Linked DNA regions of Lonchura striata. The protein of the gene in region 2 purifies or fractionates together with the protein of the main gene of each other region. This does not show direct contact. Links are inferred from orthologs where the notes say so. Each region holds a gene or a part of one and is shown on either strand. Other genes may lie near its edges.

Evidence for each region. Proteins that work in one complex are often made in the same cells at the same time.
Region 1: the proteins of EBNA1BP2 (region 2) and BRIX1 purify together in Homo sapiens (affinity purification with mass spectrometry; 4 studies listed by BioGRID and IntAct, counting the BioPlex papers as one, with this or other methods). This does not show direct contact. The link is inferred for Lonchura striata from reciprocal best matches to the Homo sapiens genes EBNA1BP2 and BRIX1.

Annotation. Positions count from the first base shown.
Region 1 is NC_134642.1:38,213,304-38,220,331, forward strand, and holds the start of BRIX1 (ribosome biogenesis protein BRX1 homolog), read right to left. Parts: upstream 3,006-7,028; coding exon 2,796-3,005; intron 2,104-2,795; coding exon 1,992-2,103; intron 1,605-1,991; coding exon 1,561-1,604; intron 964-1,560; coding exon 893-963; intron 517-892; coding exon 467-516; intron 376-466; coding exon 302-375; intron 204-301; coding exon 153-203; intron 1-152. Other genes in the region: cell cycle checkpoint protein RAD1, read left to right, coding at 3,113-3,307, 4,782-4,890, 5,496-5,754, 6,106-6,204, 6,536-6,719. UniProt on the Homo sapiens protein: Required for biogenesis of the 60S ribosomal subunit.
Region 2 is NC_134611.1:15,146,628-15,153,666, forward strand, and holds the start of EBNA1BP2 (putative rRNA-processing protein EBP2), read left to right. Parts: upstream 1-4,030; 5' UTR 4,031-4,057; coding exon 4,058-4,138; intron 4,139-4,221; coding exon 4,222-4,305; intron 4,306-4,474; coding exon 4,475-4,632; intron 4,633-5,433; coding exon 5,434-5,557; intron 5,558-6,695; coding exon 6,696-6,785; intron 6,786-6,990; coding exon 6,991-7,039. Other genes in the region: CFAP57 (cilia- and flagella-associated protein 57), read right to left, coding at 671-823, 1,779-1,944, 2,105-2,385, 3,418-3,734, 3,812-3,968. UniProt on the Homo sapiens protein: Required for the processing of the 27S pre-rRNA.

The DNA of each region.
Region 1 (7,028 bases), on a different chromosome or scaffold from region 2:
TCTGAGTTGTGCTAAGAATGATCCCAATCCTTTGTGATCTTTTCAAAGTTCAGAAGTATAAAACTGCTACTTGAAAAAAAACCACTTGTGATTCTTAAGTATGTTGCCAAGAAAACATTTCCAGTGAAGAAACACTACAACTACAGACTGACCTGAATAAACAATTCTTTTAGCAGGGCATAGTGTGGCTCTCGGTCGAATAGCTACAAAAACAAAAATATTATTTTACATACAAGGCTAAATGCAATAGTCATGCAAAAAGAGTAAGAACACACCCAAATGAAATAAAGCCTATACTTACTGGATCAAAAGACAAAAGGGGTCTTGAGCCCCTTAGGCAATTTCCTGTCATCTTCAATTCAGCCAGTGTGTGAACTACAGTGATTAAAAAAAAAAGTTATTACACACAGAAAATTTTTCGGACACAACAGCAAAAATACAAACACAGTAATGTCCACCAGCTTACCATTCTGCACCAAGAATTTAGCAGATGGTCCCTGTGGCGTGTTTGAAAGCCTTCAGAGGACAAGCGGTGGGGAACAGAGAAACAAAAATGTTAACAGCAGCCAGAATTTATGTTAACAGCCAGATAGATTTCCACACTACACCCCAACCAGTTATTCCTGCATTCAAGTAGTTTCTGCTACTTTTACAGCTGTACTGTAATGTGTATGTATGCTCATAAAAACTTGTTTTCTAAACAATTTTGTAAAATGCTTCTGCGAACAATGTCCAAAGCTGTTCACTGTAAATTTCCACAATCCACAGAAGTACAATATTAGAACAAATTTAACTAAGCAGCCGTATTTCATGCATCTTCACTGTTAGAGTCGGAAACTTCAGATAGAATTGCAGCTATAAATAGAAATGTAACAAAGCAACATTTCCTTACCACATGTAGAGATCCTGTTTCTTTTTAGCTTCAAAAAAGATGCACTTATTGCAGTTTTTCATTTCACACACCTACACAAGACATATCAAATTAGTGCTTACAAACATCCTGAAGACATTTTTGATAACTTTCCACATTCATCTCTAACATTTTTTCCTTCTCCAAAATGGAAGTACAAAATAATATTGTCTTATTAAATGACATCTACTGACACCCAAAATTTGGTTTGGCTTTCTTTTTACATTTCACATACTTACTACAAGGAGTAATAACCTCCTTAAAGCTACAAACAATTTGATAATCCTATCCAGGATACAAACACAATAACATTAGGTTCTAGCTTGAGAACTGTCAATATCCTACTATATTTGGGCTGGTGGCATATATATGTCCTGCACTGTTCAAGCATAAGCTGTACTACACTTCTCACCTACACAAAAAGCACATTATGCTAAATTTCTTCATGAATAAAATCTGTATCTAATTAAAAGTTTCATTCTGGTTTTATTAACCAAAAGTCAACTTTTGGCTTTTTGGGTATCAATAATTTTCACCACTGAAGTTACACTTTGAAATCGGTTGCCCCTTTCCCTTGCATACTGAATTTCCATATAAAATAAAATAAAATAAAATAAAATGAAGAAGCACCAAGACAAATACTGAATTACCTCATTGATTACAAATAATTGGTCTTTACGGTCCATTTTAGTATCTGGAAGACAAAACCAACATTTACAAGGGTGGAAAACCAATTTAATACAAGAGATTCTTTGAACAGTCAGATGTTTTACAAAAATTGTACTAGTTTATAAATGAAAGGGTAATTACCAAGTTGTTCCTGTCACGTTATAGAACAAATAGACATAGCAACAAAACTAACTGTGCAGGTTCAGACTGAGACCATAGGATTCACTTCTCAGAAAATACTATGGTACAACAATTGCAATACTTGTTGGCTCAAAGGGTGTTTGTTTAAGATACAAGCTTCAGCAAAACTCTTCTGTACCCCATTTTAAAAAAATAAAAGAACAGATCATTTAGAGCTTTTAGCTTTAAAGTAGTGTCAAAATATAAGTTAGGAATGATGTTCAAACCCCACCTGCTTTAGAGTGAGGCATCAATGTCCTTAAGTCCTGCATTAGGTGTCTTGTTCTGAAATTAATTCCACGAGAGGAGAATATCAGCACTCGCTCCTTGTTCTTCCATTTGCCCTAGGAAAAAAAGGCACAATAGTCACGTGGGAAGCTTCCAGCCTTAATAATGTCATAACGCAGCAAAATAAAAGTTTGGACAGTCAATACAGAAAGACACAGCAAGAACCTTGGTTTTGATCTGCCCACGCAGACAGGAACCACGCTCTCTTTAAGAGTGAACTTCCCTACAGCACGGGGGGCACTGCTTTTACAGGAGGAACCGTCCTCATCCTGATCCACGGCGTGCTCCCAGGCACATCCTTTCACTCCCATCCAACTACTAAAAAGCCACACGTGCATCGCTTATTTTCCTGCAAAATGGGCTCAGGGACAGCCCCAGAGCACAGCCCAGCTTCTCCTGTCGACGGGCGTATTGTGAAATCTTTGTGTTTACGCGCAGTATTCCACGTTTTTCCTACAAGCAAACAATTACGGAAACCTTCTCTGTATGATTCCTAAACGGAACAAGTACAGTTTCCATACAGCTTCAGTATACAACAGAATTACCCAATTCTTTCAAATACTTTTGAGACTGAGGTAACACATCTTACCGACATGGACCAGGCTAACGCTTCTCGCGTACAGAAAAAAACGCGCCACCACGTGTACTGTTAGTTGTGATGGTATTATAAGAGATTACGAATAACCCTCCCTGTCACGGCTTGGCCGCGTTCCCTCAGGCCCCCCGAGCCCGGGCCGAGCGGCGGTACCTGGGACACGGGCGGCGGGATGCGGTATTCCTGCGGCGGGATGCGGTTTTCCTGCGGCGGGATGCGGTATTCCTGCGGCGGGGCGCTGCGCTCCCCAGGGCCGCCCCCCGGCGCCGCCTCGCCCGCGCTCGGGGCGCTCCTGGCGCGCTTCGCCTTCCCCCCGGCCGGCGCTCCACGTTGTCTCTTGGCCGCCATCTGTCCCCACGCCATATCTCGCCGGTGTCCGCCCACTCCGCTTCCTGTGTCGCGTTTCCTGTGCTCCCGCCTTCCCGGTGCCGCTCTCCGCCCCCCGTGCTGCCGCCTCCTCGGGCCCGGCCATGCCGTTCTCGGCACAGCCGCCCGCCAGCGGCGAGCGCTGCGCGCTGTCCGCCAGCCTGGACAATGCCCGGCACCTGTCCAGCCTCCTGCGGGCCGTGCACTTCCAGGACTACGCCACCTGCCTCGCCACGGCCAGCGGGCTGCGCGTGACCGTGGAGGATGCCAAGTGTATCCAGGCCAACGCCTTCATCCAGGTACGGGGACACCGGCGACGGGGAGGGCGCGGCTGCCGCAGCCCGGGAGGACAAGGAGTCTCTGGATAGGGTCCGCCGGAGGCTGCAAAGGTGATTAAAGGACCGGAGCATCTCTGTTGTGAGGAGAGCTGGGTCTATTTAGTCTGGAAAAGAGCGGACTGAGAGTCTCACCAATGCATATAAATATCTCAAAGATGGGTGCCAAGAAGATGCTGCCGGACTCCTTTTTGTGGTGACCAGTGGCAGGAAGGAGAGCAATGGGCATAAAGTAAACCACCACCAAGTTTCACCTCAACACCAGGAAGAACTTCTTTACAGTTAGGGTGGTAGAGCACTGGAACAGAATGCCAGGGAGGTATTGGAGTTTCCCTCTCTGGAAATATTCAAACCCTGCCTGGATGTGTGCCGTGTCACTTCCTCCAGGTGACTCTGCCTTGACAGAGGGTTTGGACTGGATAATCTTTAGAGGTCCCTTAACCCTAACAATTCCATGTGCTCACCTGTGGAAAAGGGGAGACGTTGCTGGAACCGAGGCAGAGGTGCCTGGCTGTAGGAAGGACCGTGGTGAGTCTGCCCCTGTTTGTGGGTGTCCATGCTGCTGGAATTCCAAACCCGGCACCAGTACATCCCTGAACACGTAACAGTGTAGTGGGTTTGCGCCCTCATCTAATATATTGGTGCCTGCCAAACTCATGCTCCTTCTGGTTGTGCTGTTCTTAGTTGCACAAGCAAGTGCTCACTGTACCTCTCTTTTTATAGCTCATCCCAAAGCTAAAAGATTGGATTTTTGTCAACTGTGAAAGAGTACAGATTCACAGACACTTGATTGAAGATGGTTGTGCTGTGTTCAAAGCACCTCAGGATGCAGTTTTCTCTCTGGGCAGCCAGGAGAATATGAAATTACTTTTCCAAAAGCACCTCATGCCACCTTGCTTTATTTCTGAGATACTCTGTTCTCGTAGGTGCAACAAGCAGTGAGTACCAGTGACAGACAGCACAGCATAGAGCAGTTTATCCCCATCAGGCTAGTCAAAGGCAGGATTCAGCACATATTTCAGAGTGGTGAAGTCACTGTTCTGTTCTTAAGTACTAGTATTTGGAATGTTTATTCATGCTCTGAGCATAAAAAATATGAGTATTGTCACTGTAGAAATGTGACACATTGTACAGTTCCATGAATATTTCTAGCTCCAGAAGTAAGCAGCTCTAGGTTTTACCATTTGTAGGTTGTACTTAAACCATAAGAGACAAGTATTTAGGTTTCACGTTTATGCCATTTTACCTTGTTTCAAATGTAGTTTGGTTGTGTTTTCCTAGTTTTGAGGATGAAGCCCCATTTTTCTACAATCAATGTTGTGTTGCATGTAGAAATCATTTTGTGTTGTACTGATTTCTGGATGGGAAATCCTGAAGTTTAAGCTGTAAAATAATTGCAGAAACTCCCAACTTTTCATATTTTTGCTTTAATTTACAGGCAGAAATTTTTCAGGAATTCTCTGTTCAGGAGGAATCAGTGATGTTCCGGATCAGTTTGTCAGTTCTTCTGGACTGCCTCACCATTTTTGGATCCAGCTCCTTGCCAGGTGTGGTATATTTCCATGAATCCACAGAAGGTTGTGCTGGCACTGCAGGATGTGTATTCACATGGCATGGAGTGATACCATGGCAGCTTTCTGGACAGTTCTGCTCTTGCAGCTCTGTGTTGTACTCCTCACTCCCCTGCAGTTTTGGTTGTGGATGACCTAAAGATCCAAATCGAGTGTGCTAAAGAGCACTGTGGTTTTAGGAAACCGGAGGTTCAGGTGGTGATAACCTGCAACAAGAGGGTGTGACTGCAGCACAAGCTCAGCTGCTTTAACTTCAGTTTAGGTTGCACAAGTAACAAGAGTAGTAAGGAAAGATGATGTGAGCCAGAGAACCACAGGGCCATGAGGATTTTCCAATTCCTCTAAACTGTTTGTAGTGCGTCTTAATTGTCAGAGCTGGTGGGTGAAATTATTTGGCTTTAAGTTGTCTACACACAAGTAATTTAATTTTACTGCATACCCATTAGCATTTCAGAGGGTATCTAGGAGGCAGCACTAAAATTGATCTGTGGCCTGTGTGCCAGAAAAATGTGAGTTTTCTAAAGTGATCGAATGTTCTTGCTATGGTCTCTGCAGAATGTATGTTTTACTCTCTTTTTCAGGAGCATCAACGGCCCTTAGAATGTGTTATCGTGGTTATGGCTATCCACTGATGCTGTTCTTGGAAGAAGGAGGAGTAGTAACAGTATGCAAAATCAACACTCAAGAGCCTGAGGAATTGTTAGATTTTGATTTCTGCAGTACAAAGGTTGTTAATAAAATTATCCTGCAGTCAGAGGGACTACGAGAAGCATTTGCTGAACTGGATATGACCAGTGAAGTTCTGCAGATTACCATGTCTCCAGATAAACCCTACTTCAGGTACTAAAAATGGCTTTCAACTCAAATGTTTGTGCTTGGCTGCCTTTGGTGAGGAGTGGAAATTTTCACGGTGGAGAGAGGGGAGCTATTTTAGAATACCAGTTCATTTCAGGAAGAATTATAATGAGTATAGTAAATCACAGTATGTTCTCTAATTAACATAGTAATGAGTATTTTGACAGCCTGGTAAATGTGACACTGGTGTGGACAGTTGAGCATTTTTGATTGAATAAAGTGAAACAAACAGCAGAGTTTGGTAAAACAGTCATGGGATACGTACAGTGACTAATTTTAATGAGTTTTTACAGAGTTCTCATCAGGCGTTTTGAGATCGTGCTTTTTGTCTTCCAGGTTATCCACTTTTGGAAATGCTGGAAGTGCACATCTAGACTACCCTAGGGACTCTGATTTGATGGAAGCATTCCACTGTAACCAGACCCAGACAAACAGGTTAGAAAGTGATTGATGCTCTCTATGCCAGGTCATACGTTCTTGACGGGAAGTTTAAGAACTGCCTTTGCATTTCTGTAACATTTATTTTATTAGTATGGGGGGCAAAAATACTCCCTGTCTGATAAAAGGCTGTGTCTGCAATCAAAAGCTAAGTGATGACAATGAGAGTTCAATGTTGTTATCAGGTAAAGACCAAATAAGTGTGTTCCTTACTGTTTTTTGTTTATTCTGGGTCTTTATTCATGATTCATGTTGCAGCTCCTCTTTGCACAATGTATTTTTTTCATATTACTGAAATAATCTATAATAGTAGTATTTTCTTCTGCAGGTACAAGATTTCTTTGCTTAAACCATCCACAAAGGCACTGGCTTTGTCTTGTAAAGTGTCCATTCGAACAGATGCTCAAGGATTTCTTTCACTGCAGTATATGATTAGGAATGAAGACGGACAGATCTGTTTTGTGGAATACTACTGTTGCCCTGATGAGGACATCACTGAGGCAGAACTCTAGGTGTGTGTACTGGTGTATCTAATATATTTTTGTTTATATAAAATATTATATTTTTTACAAAACTTAATGAAAGCTGTAGATTTTGATAGAGTTAATATTGTCTTTATTTTTTAACTCTGGAATAAGAAAGCTAAAAACTTTCATTTTCTTGCACTGCGAACATTTCTTAGCCTTGACTCAAACTGAAGCTGAAAAAGCAGAAAGGGGAGTTGTCTCATAGACACTGCTTCCAATACAGATGTTAAAGTACTGTTTGTGCAATACATTGATGCTATTTGCAATGCTCTCTCAATAATTTTTGTTTGTGTT
Region 2 (7,039 bases):
TGTCTAGCTACCACATGCTGGAAGTGAAGCACCAATAAAATTTTAGGCTGCATGTGGAAACAGAACTCCTAACTACAACTCCTATTCCTGTAAAGATTTTTCTGTATGCCTGTACACAGGTTAGGTATACTCAATTACATAAAAGTCTATTTCAAGATAATACATTTTTCACTTATCTTTGTGTTATTTAATTCCTTCAGAGTAGGGAAGGTTTTCATTATGTTTGTATTTCATAGAGAGGTTTCACTTCTAGCTAAGACTTCAATAACTATCATTTTGGAGTAAAAGAAGATTCCCATGGCTGTTCCAGCTTTATCATTGCAATAAAGTTTGTGCATATTACAGTGGAGCATGAACCACAGAGTTACATTGAGGATATCTCAGTTAAAGCCTGAGTGAAGTGGTTCAGCAGTAACAGGCACCCTTTAATGGTCTTAAGTGTTCTCTGTCATTCTGCTGAAAAGCTTCAGATGTTCACAGGGAAAGAGGCTTGAGCAAGGGGCTAAAAAACACTGCCCTCAGAGAAGCACACAGAGCACTTCAGATCTTGAGCTTTAAGGGTCCATTTGAAGGATTTAATGAGAATGCATCACAGAAAACAATACTGACAGGCCTGTATCATTACAATACTGGACATGAAAGCTGTGGAATGAGACTGAACTGCACTTACCCTTATAAGTTTGGTGGAAAACATAGTAAACATGTAGATCTGACTTTTATTTGTGCCAACGACCATCATTTCCTCAGAAGGGCTGAAGCATATACATGCAATGTCCTGTCTGCTTGACTTTTTTGGCTCAGTGCTAAACTGGTCTTGAGGCAGCTGCACAAAAAAGGCATCCCATGGGTTGTGCCAGGTTTCCATATTTTGGTAGTAGGCATGCACACACACAAACTTTTATTGTAATGCTCCTCTAATAAGCACATTCATAATATCAGCAAGACAACTTGGATATTAAATAGCACATAACTACTGCAAGGCATGGAATAGAGGACAAGAGAACAACCTAATGGTATTCATAACATCACAGCTGAAACGAAGTATCAGGGGACACTTCAGCAGTAATGTGAATTACTGCAATAAACAAGAATTAAAATGGTAGTAGAAAAATATCAAGAAAAAAATAACAAGTGTCAGAATGAGAACTGCCTAAAAACTGTGGTTAGAATAAGAGCTCTTTGTAATGTATCATTAAGGTAGATAAGTCTTATTACAGGATCTCATGCATAGGGAAGATATGACCTTTTAGAATGAGAGTATGGAATCTTGACTAGATTGTTAGAGTTAAATATTCTTATACAGAGATTTCAGTAGGTCAATGCATACAGTTTGCTATAGAACAGTTAAACAGTTAGAAGGATTATTTAAGTGTGCACAGGTCTCATGACAGCTGTAATAAATACTTGAGGGGAGAAAAGCTCTCCTTGGAAAAAAAATCAAGTAGCCAGGTTCTTCAAAACTGATCTAAACTACCTCTTAGTCCCCAAAGTCTCCACAAATAAAAGTTTCTTAAAGTTTTCCTAAGGTTTAGCACCCTCAAAGCACATTTTATATGTGGGAAGGAAAGATACAGAACTACCTTTCAAAAGGTCATCAGGCACTGACTTTCAGTGTTACCTCTGGCAACTCCTTTCAACATCACCAGGACAGTTAGCTAATCCTTACAATGCAGTTTAGCAGTGTGCTAAAAATTATTATTCATAACTGAATCAGAAACACAGTTCTCTAAACAGGGCTCTGCTGCATAATTGATTACAAAAGCTTTTTTCCTCCTTACCCAGACTTCTTGTCTCTCCTCATAGACTTCCTTTTCACCAGTCTTTTCAAACAGAAGAACAACTCCTGGGCTAGGTGAACATGCAAAACCTTTGGAATATGCTGCAACTGCAGATATTTGAGGCAAAGAATGCTGTTGTAAATCATTATCTTCAAAGGCCAGTCCACTAGAAACACCAGAAATGCAATTAGGAAATCCATAAAGACTTAAAAATAAAGAAGCACAAATAAAAAAATGCTAAGCAGCAGCTGACAAACTGGACAGGAAGGAAGTAACTAATCCTGCAAAACCATGGGACTATTACTAATAACAGTGAAGAGATTTACCTCTCATATTCATTTGTTGTATCTTCTTGATTCCTGGGTGTTTTTCTGTACTCCAAACTTTTCTCCCAGTGCAGCTCTCCAGTTTCAAACAAGCTAAGTTTGCCTGTGTCAGTGCCACATATAACTTCCTCCTCAGACAGCCAGGCGTGGCACAAGTAGTTTTCTGGCTGTCCCCTTTGTAAATTCATCTGCTTTAAATATCCTTCACTGTACTTGAAAAGTTTAAAAAAGCCATTTCCAGTGATACAAACCTGGGTATTATCTTGAGGATTAAAGCTCACCTGTGGAACAAAAAAGAGAGGAAGTATTTTTTCCAGCTATGTTCATAAATAAGCAATGATTATTCCTGAATACTTTCTGTACCAGATACAGGAAAATAAACAAAGGAAGATGGTTAATAGAATATTGGAATACCAAATATTACCAAATACCAACAGAATACAGGAATACCAAAGAGAGTAAGAATTAGCCACCATAACTCCAGACTGCAGTTTTCCCCCTTTGAAAAGTGTGTCTATTAAAGTTAAATTACTAAAGTAAGGCCAAAATACCTCTTTACTACTGATTAACAAATTTTTCCAGTAACAAGCTTCCTGAAAAGTGGGACCATCTGTTCTCAAAAGGCCAGGAATAAGTTCTGTATACCTGTGTTTCAGGCTAACATGAATTCACATAATTAGGTGTTTATTTGTGAAAATTATGGAATAGCCATCTCAATACTCAACATGAAGGATAGGAAGAGTAGTTTGAAGTAATTTTTTATGCTTAATGGGACTTTACACAGCCAGTCTTTACATTCCCCTCTCTTTAAGAGTTGAGGTCATGAATTCAGTAGGTCAGCCAACCTCTGCTTGTAGCTGTACCCCAGAAAAAATGTCAGCTGGAGTTCAACCAACACATGGACTGAAACTACCAGACCTCCCTACTACATAAAAGAATCTAAAAAGGAGCACCCAAACCTGGATGCAGAAATTATTTGTGCCATCAGCCTGCTCCTAACCACTCATCTCCTCCACTCTGAACACAGAAGACTGCAGGAAGGAAAAGGTGCAGAGCGCTTCCAAGAAGTGTGTTACAACTACTGGGCACAGCCCAGTAGCAGTGGCACCATGACATAGATCTCATGTGATATAAGAGAATCTCATGTGATACAACAGATACAGACATGAGAATGTCTCTTATGGGTCAGTGCAAAACTTTATTTAGCCTAGTGTCCTATTGCTGAGGGAGGCTAACAGCAGATGCAAGAAAAGTCAGAGAAACTATGAAATATACATTGTGGAGCCCTCTCCTCCGGAGTTCGGAGCCGTTACCTGGCAGGGGCCGCCGCCCGCGGCCTGCAGGCGCACGGCCGCCGCCAGCTGCCGCTTCTCCCACAGCCAGCAGGCGAGGTGGCCCTCGGGGGGCGCCGTGGCGGCCGCCAGGAGCCGGCAGTCGGGGGAGAAGGCGAGGGACACGGCCTGCCGCGCCGGCAGCTCCTCGGCCGCCAGCACCTTGCGGCGCCGCGCCCGCTCCGCCGTCAGCTCATAGACCGCCAGCACCGGCTGCTCCCCCGCCGCCTCCGACAGCGCCAGGAACCGCCGGTCGGGACTGACGGCCAGCGCCTGCACGCCCCGGCTCTTCTCCGTGCCTGCGGGGAGCAGAGCGGTCAGCAGTCGGGACCGGGACCGGGACCGGGGTTAGGGTGGGGACCGGGGTCGGCGCCACCTGGGATGAAGTTGTGCCACTTGTGCTCGAGGTGCAGGCGCAGGCAGCCCGCCCCCGCGGCGTGCAGCACCACCTGCTCCTCCAGGAAGCAGACGCCGCCGGCCACCCGCGGCCGGCAGCCGAACACGGCCACGGGCTGCACGGCCGCCGCCGCCATGCCGCCGCCGCTGTCGCCGTGGTGACCGCGGCCCCGGCGGCCCCGGCGCCCGGAAGCGGCGGCGCACGCGGCCGGAAGCGGCGGCGGCGATGGCGGCGGCGGCGGCGCGGCGTGGGTCCTTCTCGGGCTCCGGCTCGGACTCGGAGGATTCCTCGCTCTCGGACTCGGAGGTGAGCCCGTGGCCGCCGTGGCGAGGCCGGTGGGGAAGGGCCCCTCGGTGCCGGCGGCGCGGACTGACCGAACTCTCTCGCAGCTCCAGGAGGCCTTCGCGAAGGGCGCGCTGAAGCCGGGGCTGAACGTGGTGCTGGAGGAGCGGCCGAAGCGGCGCAATGACACGGTGAGCGGGGAGCGCGGGGCCACCAAAAGCCCCGGCGGGCTCGGTGCTCCGCGCTGCGGGGCGGGGGCCGGCTGTGGCCGGGCGGCCCCAGGAGCAGCCACCGGTGCCGCTCGGCCACCGGGCCGGGTCGGGCCGTGCGCTGCTGTGCTGAGCTGTGCTCCTTTCACAGGACGGCCTGAGGCAGTGCCTGGCCGAATTCAGGCAGCAGCTGGCCTGGGTGGAAAGGCTGGACGTGACTCTGGGCCCGGTCGCGGACCCCGTTTCTCAGAGTGCTTCTGCGTCTGATGCCGTTGACCCTGAGAATGATTTCCAGAGAGAGATGAGTTTGTAAGTGTCAAAAGGAGATTTCATGTGGCGTCCCAGTATGTTGCTCCGTTTTTGGAGTTACGTTTCACCAGTGTGCTACAGGTTGCTGCAGGCTGCTACGCTGGCTGTCACTGTGCTACTCTTGGCCATGTTATTTTACATTCGATGGCTCTCAATGTTTTCCAAAATAACTACAAATTAGTGCTAGTATATTCAACTGCTGTGTGACTGAAAATAAATAATTTCCCTCTTCATAGCAGACTTCATCTTTTGCTGAGTTTATTTTAAAAGCTCCTTGATAGCAGGACAAACTAACACAATTTTTCTTTGTGGGTTTGTTTTGGTGCTCTTACAGTTCTCTTGTTTTGCTTTGCCTTTTATATTCCAACAAAAAAAACCCCTATAACTGGAAATAAGATAAATGTTCATGTGCAAGATATAAATGTTAATGTTGTACTGGCACCTAAGCCGCTTTCAGTAGCACTGGACGTCCACAGAATGGTGATATAATTCCAGACCAATGCGTGCTAGATCCCAGCATCAGCCTGCTTGTGTGAGCAGTTTGTGTCAGCACTGTGAGGTGCCTGACATGCAGTGACAGGGCTGCTGCAGTGACAGGCTGCTGCAGTGACAGCACCAGTGCAGTGACAGGGCTGCTGCAGTGACAGGGCTGCTGCAGTGACAGGCTGCTGCAGTGACAGCACCAGTGCAGTGACAGGCTGCTGCAGTGACAGGGCTGCTGCAGTGACAGGCTGCTGCAGTGACAGCACCAGTGCAGTGACAGGCTGCTGCAGTGACAGCTGCTGCTCTGCTCTCTCCCAGCTACCGGCAGGCACAGGCAGCTGTCCTGGAAGCCCTCCCCAGGCTGCATAAGCTGCAAGTTCCCACGAGGAGGCCGGATGATTACTTTGCAGAGATGGCCAAATCAGACCAACAGATGCAGAAGGTACGTGCAATGAGTGGCTTTCTTTCCAGTGTAATGTGAGTGTTTTAGTCTGGGGTAAGGATTAAATTTAAGGTGTGACATATGAGTACTGACCATTGTCGCTTTTCCAATTCCTGTGACAATGATTTGGTTTGAAACTTTGTGACAGGAGATTTCTTTTTATTTAGGTTTTTGGTGCAATGTGCAGAGTTTTATAACAGGTTGGATGATGAAGTAGAAAAACACAATTTCTACTTTGTCCTGGATGTGTTTAATATTAAAAAGGGAGAATTTTTCTTAGTATGTGTAACAGTGGATGTAAAGTTGCCTGTTTTTGCTCTTTGTCATAAAACTTGCAGTTGACTGTGGCTTTAAAGCAATTCTTTTTTTCCTATTTAAGGAAAGACACCTTTTGTTTATTGTCAGTGTGTTCCGGTTTTCTGTGATTTTAAATGGTATGTTATTGAATGAATATGTTTTGGATAGGAGGTTAGATTGGTGTAGGAAATAAGTATTTCACACATTTCCTTTTTGCCTGTAGTCTTTGTTCAAAATTGAACTCTATTTTTTGGTTTACATTTGTTAAAAAGACTACATTGTATAAATTAAAGAAGCATGAGCTGGAGTCTAGTTTGAAGATTAATGTATCATTGGGTCACTATTCTGCTTTCTGATGGAACATTTCTAGATAAGATGAAGAATGATAATTAGCCAATACTAAGGTTTAAGTCAATCCTGCACATCTTTTGCTGACTTGCATTTGAAGAACAGTTTTTATCTCCTGCTGGAGTCACTAGACTGAATCACAAAGATGTGTGTTGAAATTTTTGTAATTCTTCATAAGGCAGCATCCTTATAAAAATGTTTGTCAACAAGGAGGAAACAAAAATTATATTTTCTACAGGATTGTTGTCTTTTCTTCAGTGCTTTACTTTTAATAATGACAAGAAAGAAACTATTAAGTCTTTTTCATACACCCAAATAGACTGACAAGTTACTCTCAGTTCTTTAGAGCCTATTATATGGCTTTGTCTTCTCTCTTGTGTGAGTTTTGTCTTTTTTAGCCAGATTTTGGCTATAGATCAGTACAGAAATTATAAAATTATCTTTTTTTTTATGTGTTACTAATAAATTTCGTTTTTTTCTATTCTCTAATTAGATTCGACAGAAACTTAAGAGTAAACAAGAAGCAATGGAAAGATCTGAGAAAGCAAAACAACTCCGTGCAATGAGAAAATATGGCAAGAAGGTGAGGAGCTACAAAAGGGACATGTGCAAAAGGATCTGTGAAAAGAATTTAGAGCCTGAGTGGGGAGCTGGAAAAGTGTGACCACAGGAGTCTGGCTAAAACACACAGATCTGTCTAGTCTTCCATCTAGCTGCTCTGAAGGAAAACAGAACAAAAGTATGGGACACTGCAAGGAACAACACTAACTTTCTGCTTCTAATCTCAGGTGCAAGTTGAGGTTCTGCAGAGGAGACAAAAGGAGAAGAAAAATATGT